Regions from separate parts of the Mus musculus genome. Here region 2 is reported to be linked to region 1. Evidence: microRNA targets listed by miRTarBase, many of them from high-throughput screens and not tested one by one. Region 1 holds a microRNA gene; the other region holds the end of a gene's coding sequence.
The links. Region 1 holds the annotated microRNA mmu-miR-367-3p (AAUUGCACUUUAGCAAUGGUGA, at 1,973-1,994, opposite strand). A microRNA usually pairs through its seed, bases 2 to 8, with sites in the 3' UTR of a target mRNA and lowers its output. Matches are read on the target gene's strand: a 7mer-m8 pairs with bases 2 to 8, a 7mer-A1 pairs with bases 2 to 7 and ends in A, and an 8mer does both.

Region 2: the mRNA of Fam136a is a reported target of mmu-miR-367-3p. Seed matches in the 3' UTR shown: 7mer-A1 at 1,764-1,770.

Annotation. Positions count from the first base shown.
Region 1 is chr3:127,542,773-127,547,772 of GRCm38, reverse strand. It overlaps Mir367 (microRNA 367), which reads right to left and starts at 2,040; the gene lies at 1,966-2,040. Larp7 (La ribonucleoprotein domain family, member 7) reads left to right here. Exons shown (of 13, transcript NM_138593.2): 2 at 227-411; 3 at 583-683; 4 at 769-852; 5 at 955-1,119; 6 at 1,204-1,297; 7 at 1,370-1,726; 8 at 1,803-1,947; 9 at 3,495-3,619; 10 at 4,617-4,741. The coding sequence starts at 228. Gm51018 (predicted gene, 51018) reads right to left here and starts at 2,684. Exons shown (of 2, transcript NR_146435.1): 1 at 2,627-2,684; 2 at 870-1,139. It overlaps Mir302b (microRNA 302b), which reads right to left and starts at 2,545; the gene lies at 2,472-2,545. It also overlaps Mir302c, Mir302a and Mir302d.
Region 2 is chr6:86,368,243-86,373,330 of GRCm38, forward strand. Fam136a (family with sequence similarity 136, member A) reads left to right here. Exons shown (of 3, transcript NM_025591.3): 3 at 489-1,816. The coding sequence ends at 677. Snrpg (small nuclear ribonucleoprotein polypeptide G) reads left to right here and starts at 3,298. Exons shown (of 4, transcript NM_026506.2): 1 at 3,298-3,372. The coding sequence starts at 3,341.

The DNA of each region.
Region 1 (5,000 bases):
CCTCTCTTTCCAGTGGTGGCTGACTAGGCCATCTTTTGAGGTAGAGGTTTTACTACTTGAATTTACTACAGAATTTGCACTTGCCTGACAGACCAGCTTTAAAAACATCCTTACTGATGTCAGTGAGATGGCGTCCTGCAGCAGGAATTCCTGCAGCAGGAAGGTTCAGGTGACAGGGGCATTTAGGCACTTTACAGTTTGGCATTTTTGTTTTTTCCCCTCTCAGAATGGAAACTGAAAACCAAAAAACTATGGAAGAAAGCACTAAGAGAAAAGAAGAAAAAAAGAAGCGCTCCCGGGTTAAACAGGTGCTTGCAGATATTGCTAAGCAGGTGGACTTCTGGTTTGGAGATGCAAACCTTCACAAGGACAAGTTTCTGCGAGAGCAAATTGAAAAGTCTAGAGATGGATGTAAGTTTTTTGTCTTTGTTGGAATTTCCAACTCACATTTATATGGGGCCAGAGCCTCCTGAGAGCTCAGTACTGTATATGTTCATGACACACAACTGCATGTTGAACTCGTGCTTGTTTGCACACATGTATATATTCCAGTGTTTAACATCCCACTATCCTATTTACTAGATGTGGACATTTCTCTCCTGGTGTCTTTTAACAAAATGAAGAAGCTGACAACTGATGGGAAGCTAATAGCCAGAGCATTGAAAAGCTCATCTGTTGTAGAGGTAAAAAACTTACATTTCAAGTCACCCACATCCAATTAACTACTGACTTTATTTAGCTTTCCTTTTTTTTTCCCCCCTCATAAAGTTGGACTTAGAAGGGACCAGAATCAGGAGGAAAAAACCCCTAGGTGAGAGACCAAAGGACGAGGAGGAACGCACGGTATATGTGGTAAGAAATGACACAAATTTTAATTCTAGTTCATTTATTTATAATTCATTTATTGGTAAAAATGTAGGAACTTTAAAATGTTCATACCATGATTTATTACAGGAGTTGCTCCCCAAAAATGTTACTCATAGCTGGATTGAGAGAGTATTTGGGAAATGTGGCAATGTGGTTTACATAAGTATTCCACATTACAAGTCTACTGGGGATCCTAAGGGATTTGCCTTTGTGGAATTTGAAACAAAAGAGCAAGCAGCAAAAGCCATTGAGGTACGTACTTCTGTGGGACCCTGAAAAGTAAAGAAAAAGCACAGGGTTAACAAGAGTAACAAATTCTGCAATCAATCTTTTCAGTTTCTGAACAACCCACCAGAAGAAGCACCTAGAAAGCCTGGTATATTTCCCAAGACAGTGAAAAACAAGCCCATCCCTTCCTTACGAGTAGCAGGTGAGTGCTTACTTAGAGTGGCCAAGTAAACAATAAACTATTATGACTGTAAATAATAAAATCTTGTTACAGAAGAGAAGAAAAAGAAGAAAAAGAAAAAAGGCAGAATAAAGAAGGAAGAGAGTGTGCAGGCCAAAGAGTCGGCCGTGGACAGCAGCAGCTCGGGCGTGTGTAAAGCCACGAAGAGACCAAGGACGGCCTCTGAGGGCTCCGAAGCAGAAACCCCGGAAGCTCCAAAGCAACCTGCAAAGAAAAAGAAGAAGCGGGACAAGGTGGAAGCATCCAGCTTACCTGAAGCCAGGGCAGGGAAGAGGGAGAGGTGCAGCGCCGAGGACGAAGACTGCCTCCCCCCAAGGCCAAAAGCTAAGAAAAGGGCTCAGAAGGATGGCGTCGGCCAAGCAGCTTCCGAGGTCTCCAAGGAGAGCAGAGGTACCGTGGCAGTAGGGTTACAAATGTTTTAACCAGTTTAACCACAACAACGGACTTACGGAAATCTTTTTTCTAGACTTAGAATTCTGCTCTACTGAGGAGGAGAAGGAGACAGACAGAAAAGGTGACTCACTCTCAAAGGTGAAGAGGAAGCATAAGAAGAAACACAAGGAGAGACATAAGATGGGCGAGGAGGTTATACCATTGAGAGTGCTGTCCAAGTAAGTGGCCACTGACACAGGTCCATCACCATTGCTAAAGTGCAATTCCAATTTCTATTCAACAGAGTTGCATGTTAGCAACAGTGACGGCCTTGGTCTATCTATATGCAGCACAATGAAGATTAAGTAGGAGCCACCACACTCAAACATGGAAGCACTTATTTTTAAATGCACAGCAAGTGCCTCCATGTTAAAGTAAAGGAGGCCCCTTAAGCAGACTTGAGTGGTCTTTACAAAGGCATGAATATAAAGGAAAACATACCATCACCAAAACATGGAAGCACTTACTTTCTTAGGTCTAAAGCAAGTACAACCACGTTTAAGTGGTGGGAAGCCCAGTCAATAACTCCCTTAACCTACAGCATCTTAGAGAAAATGTTGAACAGTTTAAGACACCCCCACTGAAACATGGAAGCACTTGCTTTTGTTTAACACAGCAGGTAACCCCATGTTAAAGCAGAGGGGACTCCCATCAGACTCTGAATTAAAAGGCTAGCTTTCTTATTCCAGAGTTTCTTGAATTCACTTCTACTAAAACATGGAAGCACTTACTCTTCGATGAGACAGAAAGCATTCCCATGTTAAAGTTGAAGGGAACCCACCCACAAGGCAACTAGTTAAAACAGAAGAGCAAACCCACAGGAAAGTAAAGTGACCCGGTTACAGACATAAGCTTTACCTCCTTTACCTTCGTGACCGCCTCCCAAAGAGTCCTGTTCTGTCCTCGGAGGGTGAAAGACGCCGACTTTAGACCACTTGTATTTATACTACTCCTAACTCCTGAGTTCCTTTTGGCTTTCTATCTCTGAGAATCATTACAAGACCCTTTGTTATTTTAATGTATCAGCTCTGGGGAAAGTAGGTCCTGGGGACCTGGGTAGGTCTGGATTTTTTTTTTTTTTTTCCTTTTTTGAAGTAAACAGATGTCAATGTTAACTGCTAAAACCATTACCACAAGATATCCTCCTCTTTAAAAAAAATCTCCTATCTGCCCGTTTGATGGCACAGATTAGGGTAACAATGAGCGCTCCCACAGAGCCAGGAGATGCATTGTGCTTCTCTGGAGGAGCCCTAGCTGTTTGAAGATACATCTACATGTTAAATGTATGTAAATAAATAAATTGCTTCCATGGGGTGTTTTTTTCTTCTTAGAAATTCCTTTTGATTCAAGTAAATCCTAAGGAATGTTAGCTCTCAAATTGGAAGCAATTTGAGAAATCTTTAAGTTTTAGTCTCTTACTTTTTCTCCAGGTTGCCTGATTTAGTGATTTTACTTAATAGAAGTGACTCAAAAGTGATTTTACAATTAAATATTAGAAGCAACCAGGAAACTCAAGCATTTTCCTTGCCTGTTAAGACAAAGAAACTTCCTTTGTGTGTTTGCTAGGTAGCTTTAACAAATGGCTTAACAAATAATGTAAACATATGCCTTAAAAGAAAGAAAAGTCAGAAAGACTTGCAGTTCCTATGAACATTGTGTTTAGATCAACTTCAGATTTCTAGTTGGGTCGTCTTATCACTGTAATGGCTCAATTTTTGTTTTTCAGGACTGAATGGATGGATTTGAAGAAAGAGTATTTGGCACTGCAAAAAGCTAGCATGGCTTCTCTAAAAAAAACAATATCTCAAATCAAATTGGAATCAGAAATGGAAACAGACTGTAAAGCGCCTAGTAAGTGTGCAGTGGGGAACGGAGAGGGTGACGCTCATGTAATGGAAGAGTGGGCTTTAGTCTATGAATGGTTTCAGGGGCAGTTTTATTGCAGTGATAGAGTGGCTTCCTCAGTTTTAAGCTGAACCATTTCCAAAAACAAAATGTTTTAAGAAAAGTAAAAATGTGAAGTTTTGTATTACACACTAGGTTTTAATAGTCTGTTTATTCTTCTCTACTTACCTGCGAGCTCACTTGTGAGTGCCTGGAGAGAGAAATAAAGACTGCAGGCTTAGTGGATGATGTTCAGCAAGCAGGAGCATATTAGAGCACTACTCTCGTTCATTGTAATATTAGTAAAGGTTTTAAGTTCTTGCAAATTATACAAATTCTCATATTTGAACAGTATACTTTGTGGCTGGAGAAATGGCTCAGTGGTTAAGCACACTGACTGCTCTTCCAGAGGTCCTGAGTTCAAGTCCTAGCAACCACATGGTGGGATCTGATACCCTATCCTGGAGTGTCTGAAGACAGCTGCAGCGTCCTCATAAATAAAATAAATAAACAAATTTTTTAAAAAATGAAATTGTTGAAGCCAGGCAGTGGTGGCTCATGCCTTTGATCCCAGCACTGGGGAGACAGAGGCAGGCGGATTTCTGAGTTCAAGGCCAGCCTGGTCTACAAAGTGAGTTCCAGGACAGCCAGGGCTATACAGAGAAACCCTGTCCCGAAAAACCAAAAAAAAAAAAAAAAAAGAATAGAATACTTTGAATAGTCTTATGTTCATATAGGCATACATCTTTATTAAGGCTTTATTCTTTGGTTTAGAGGTATAATGCCTTTTGTGCCATGTTGATTCCAATGGGCAGTGTGATTCCTTAATATTATTTACAATTCTGAGATCCTTAAACTAGCCTGAGAAGTCGCTGCTGCTGCTGCTGCTGCTGTTGTAGAATAGTGCTCCTCATGTGAAATGTCAGGAGTGGGAAGGTTACCTCTGGCTCCTTCCTCTTCACAGCAGCAGGCAGTGGTCAAGAGTGTTCCACCCAGGAGAAGGTCAGTGCACAAGGCCCACAGTTTGTGACTGGAGTGATTGTGAAGATTGTGAGCGGAGAGCCTCTACCGGGCAGGAAACAAGTCAAGGTAATATTTATGAACCCCATGTGAAATGTTTTCAAAATAGTATGGAAAACAAAGCAACTCCAGTCAGAATTTGTACCTTTCTGATAAACTACTTGTAGAGTCCATGGTAACACTGATAACTCTTAAGTTTACTCTAAATACCTAAATACCTTATTCCTCAGGAAATAAGGCCTAAGTACATCGAATAGCCTGTACACCTTTCTTTCTTGTTTCACTAATGGTTAGTGGCTGTGTAGTTCAGTGGAGAATGATATGGTGA
Region 2 (5,088 bases), not on the chromosome of region 1:
CTCTTGGGTGTGGCAGCCCACCTGTAAATCTAGCCCTAGAAGACAGAGACAGAATCTCTACAGCTGGCCGGCAAGCAAGTCTAGCTGATTGGTTGAGAGCCCTGCCTCTGTGAATATCTGGGAGAGCAAGGGAGGATGGTTCCTAACATGTACCTCAGGCCTCCACATCCACAAATAAACGTCTAAAAATCCACAGCCCCCACACACATGAAAGATGAAAGAGTGGGAAAGGAATTGAGGTATTTATAAGCCCAACAGTAGTCATTTGATTGCTGCCAGCATCTTGTATAAAGCTCATTTTTTCCATTCCTCTGCTCAGTGCTTAGTCTGAGCCTTCCCAGTGGCACCTTCTGTTTGAACCAAGAGAGTGTTAGACTTAGTACTGGCAGAGACGATCTGTATCGAGCCTGTAGCCCAAGGCCTGGCATGGGACCAATACTCAGACAACAGAAGCCAGCCTCTCAGCCTTCTCTCTCTTCTCATCACAGGACCGCCTGGCCCGCTGCACCATGCATTGCAATGACAAAGCCAAAGACTCAATGGATGCAGGAACTAAGGAGCTTCAGGTGAAGCGACAGCTAGACAGCTGTGTGACCAAGTGTGTGGATGACCACATGCACCTCATCCCAACAATGACCAAGAAGATGAAGGAGTCTCTGTCATCCATAGGGAAATAAAATTGTTTGCCAGTGACCATCGGGACTGCGGGCAGGCTATTTAAAAGGAAGAATGGAAGTTTAATATGTTAAGCAACGTTTACGAATGAGGAAAACTTAGACACAGCAAGTTCCAGGCAAATGCTGCTCACTGCTGGACACTAGTCCCTTTACATTCGGATCTTAGAAGGTGAAGTAGGAAGAAGCTGGTGCTAAGATTTGGATCACAGATAGCTCAGAGGAGAAGTCTAGATCCTAAATATTCATATGCAAGTGTCTGTACTGTAGTAGAGATCAACCTTGTACCAAGAGCTGAGCTTCTTACTACAAACATCCAGGCTGGCAGCTCTCTTCAACCTGCTGGTAAAATCTGAGGATCGGTGCATCTCCTCAGAGAAGCTTGACAAATCCTGTTGACCAGAAGTATCATCACACCACCTTGCATATGCTGGGAAACAAAACCCAGTAGGCTAGGAATTCAGAGGAAAGGATTTCCTTTTCAAATCTATATTTTGCTTAGTTTTGTCTTATATGCAGGGCACACTGGATTTATGATACAGGAGGGAAAGTGGTTTGAGTCACTTCTAAAGGTTCCTAGTATTATGTACCGTCAAGATGGGAATGTCCATTTCTTCAAATTCTGTTACTCTAGAAGCCCCTGAAGAATCCGGACAGTGTCACACAGTGAACATGGGAAACAGCCTTCTTTACTGACTTGTGCAGCAAAGTGACACATCCTTATGAAAAGCAAGGGGGTAGGCTGTCACTCACATGCCAGTCGCTAAGAATAAGCAGTAACTAGGAATTATTGAGAAGTGCAAACCCAGTATTAATCAGCTCTGAATCTACAGAGCCTTATAGCAACAAGAAAGCCAGAAACTGAGCAACTTGGGCCACAGATGGGTAGGACCACTGTAGAACAAGAGAGGCACACACTTTCTTGCCAAATGCCATTTTTGCCTGGGTGGTTTTTATTTTTTATTTTCTTTGCAGTGCAGTGTTGCTGGCCCAACATAGCACCTTATCTTTTGGATAAGTACTATGTTGTATTTATACCAATTAATTACTTGAAACAGTGATACATCTGTCTTTTTGCTGTGTCAAGCCTGCAATATATTTTCCAAGTGGTTTGGTTTTTAAATAAAGTTTCATTGTCTCCACCTTTTTCTTATGGGTAGTGATATATCAGTAAATGGGAAACACCAAGAGGAAGGCAGAGAGCATCATAACTTGAAAGCTGTTAATGTTGAAAAGATAACTTAGGATTAAAGGTACATGGGGGGGGGGGCTGAAAAGATGGCTCAGCAGTTAAGAAAACTCTTCCGAAGGTCCTGAGTTCAAATCCCAGCAACCACATGGTGGCTCACAACCATCCTAATGAGATCTGGCGCCCTCTTCTGGAGTGTCTGAAGACAGCTACAGTGTACTTACATATTATAACTAAATTGTAAAAGGTGCATACTGTAATTTCAGTACTGTAAGGCAAGCTGAGGATTTCCCTCCTGCTTTGAGGTCAGTCTTTGCTAAAGACTATCATTATTCATGTTCGTTTTCTAGTTTCAACTAGCACAGCAAGTGGTGGGGAGAGTGTATAGCTAAGCATTCTTGTGCTATTTTTTTGTTGATGACAAACTAATCATGAGGAGAACCTCAATTGAAGAGCTGCTTCCATCTAACAGGTCTCTGGACATGTCTGTGGGTCATTAATGACTACCATGAGAGAGCCCAGTGCACTGAGGGCAGTGCCACCACCCTGGGAGAGTGCACACCTTTATTCCCAGCCCTCAGGAGGCAGGGGCAAGCTCAATACCTCAGGACTTGTGTGGTACTCCTCAGCTTTTATGTATGGACTGTAGTGTGCTAAGTGGGTTCTGAAGGCAGCGTTAGAATTGCAGAATTGATGAATCAGAAATACCCCAGACACTGGATTCACGTCCTCAAGAGAATCCGCCTAGCCACCTTCCTGCTACTGATGCGGACAAGCTATTCTGTGCTTCAGGAGCCCTCGGCTTCGCCTGGATGTGCTTAGGAAATTAAGGGCAGCGTGGTGCAGATGCCGTTGATTCTAGCACGGGAAGCAACAGTTCAAAGCCAGCGTTGACTACACAGTGAACTCGAAGCCAGCATGAATTACGTCAAAAACAATGAGGAAGGGGCAGGGGAAATGACAAAAATGTAAAGAGAAAAAAAGTGTAGTAAGTGGGAAAAGGAAAGAAAAGAAGTGACACACAGGCTGGAGAGACGCTTCAGCAGTTAAAACCACTGGCTGTTCTCCCAGAGCTCTGGAGTTCAATTCCAGCACCCACATGGTGGCTCACAAGCATCTATAGTAGGATCTGAGGTCCTCCCCTGGCGCGCAGGTGTACATGTAGAGCACTCATACATAAAATATAAATGAAGGGGTCTGTTTTTAAAGTGACCTGCCACTTCAATTTTACACAAAGGAAGCTTAGCCGAACACAGCCTCTCCGTCGTGGCCTGTCACTGGCGACGCAACCGGAAGCGTGGCTCTGGTCCGCAGGTTCAGACATCCCCATCAATATCGCGAGATGAAAGGTAATGTTCTCCGAAGGCGATTGGCTCGCGCGGCGGTGACGTCAGACACCAGCGCCAAGCCTGCCTTGCGCGCGTTTCTGAGCCTGCTCACTCCTTCGCCGTTGTGCCGAGCCCGCAGAGGAGTCGCCATGAGCAAAGCCCACCCTCCCGAGCTGAAGAAGTGAGTAGAGTCGGCCCTATCGAGACTTCTGTCTCGCTCGGGCTGCCGCCGCTGGTCCCGACGGTCGCGGGAGCCGGAAGTGGCGCTAAGGTCCGGTCGGCATGGTTACTGCAGTGCCGGTGCCTCTGTCTTCCCAAAGCTGGGGCTCTCCTAGGCGGGCAGCCAAAGGCAACCTGGTTGGGGACCAGGGCAGCGGTCGAGGTGCATGGTTGTGAGGAACCGGAGACTCGTGGGCTTAAAATGATCGATTGGAGTCGGACGTGATTGGCTGTGATCTATGGGGCCAATATTCAGGAAGCTTAGGCAGGAGAATTACCGCGAGTTCCAGACCAGCCTAGGCTTAAAAAAAAAAAAGACACTGTGTCTCAAAAAGTTTAAGGTGAGGTAGCGTTTTGTGTTTCAATAAATGTGCGCGTTCATTTGCGTTCATCAAGAGAGCTAGGTTTAGTTTTGGGGTTTTTTTTTCCCCTTTTTGGTGCTCAGAGACATGTTTAGTTATATGTTTGTGCACGTGGGTGCAGCTCCTGCGGAGGCCAAAGCGGGCATTGGATCTGCAGAAACAGAACTTGTAGGAGGTTGTGAGCCCTCTGGCGTGGTTAATAATAGCTGGACTCGTGTCCTCTGGACAAGCAATAAGCGCTGGGCCATCTGCAGCCCCAAGAACTAGGTTTCTGATACACTGTCCTTGTATTCAAGTTACATTTAAACGTTGTGTAATATCTTGCTCTGGCAATAAATCCATGGAAGGACATCCATTTTCTACTTGTAAAGAGCTAATTTCTGAAGAATTTTATTCTGTACCCAGTAAAATCAGACAGACCCTTTGGTCTCAGACACTTCTGACTGGCCTGAACCTGTCGCATATGCACATAGTCATTGGGTTGCTCAATACAAGATTAATACTGGGTCTTTTCTGGTGTAGCCAGAAAATAATCTGTCTTGTGTATAGCCTGTTTGCTACTGTAAAGTTCTGTCAAGACCCCAATGCAGGGGAAAGATAACAACATTTGCTGATTTTTGTATTTGAGTGCACATTTTAATCAAAGCCCTCTGTGTGAAACCCCTGCAGTTTTGTTTGAATCTGAATCTGTTAAACCGGGCCTAGAGAGTTGGCTCAGAGGTTGAGAGCACTGACTTCTCTTCCTAGAGGTCCTGAGTTCAATTCCCAGCAACCACATGGTGACTCACAACCATCTGTAATAGGATCTGGTACCCTATTCTGGCTTGCAGGCCTATAGGCAGAACACAACATAATAAAGATGTATTAAGCCATAAGTCTGACATTTTAAAAAGAAGTTATTCTGCACTGTTTGTTTTGATGATGAGCTAATAAATGAGGTCTGGATTTAGCAGGAATTGGCAAAATGGCATTGGTTTTGAACAAAAGCACTGTTCCCTACCTGTAATCTTCAGTGTCCTCTGATTCTTAACAGATATACTTGGGCCTTTCAGAGACTGGAACTAGTGATTGTGTCCATATTTTTATTGGCGTGTTTGGAGCAGAGCCTGTGTGAGCTACTTTGTCACTGAACTTCTCTTCTCTGAGTTGATGCCTTTTTCTCATCCCTACATTTTATCAAATTTGAAATACTTTTAGATCCGCCTCCTTATTTTCTCATAAACACCTCCTTTTACAGCTATTCACTCCTAGTTTAGCATAACTCCATAGTTCTTAATCATTTCTGGTCCCGTGTCTCAGTAGTTTCAAAGTTGAGC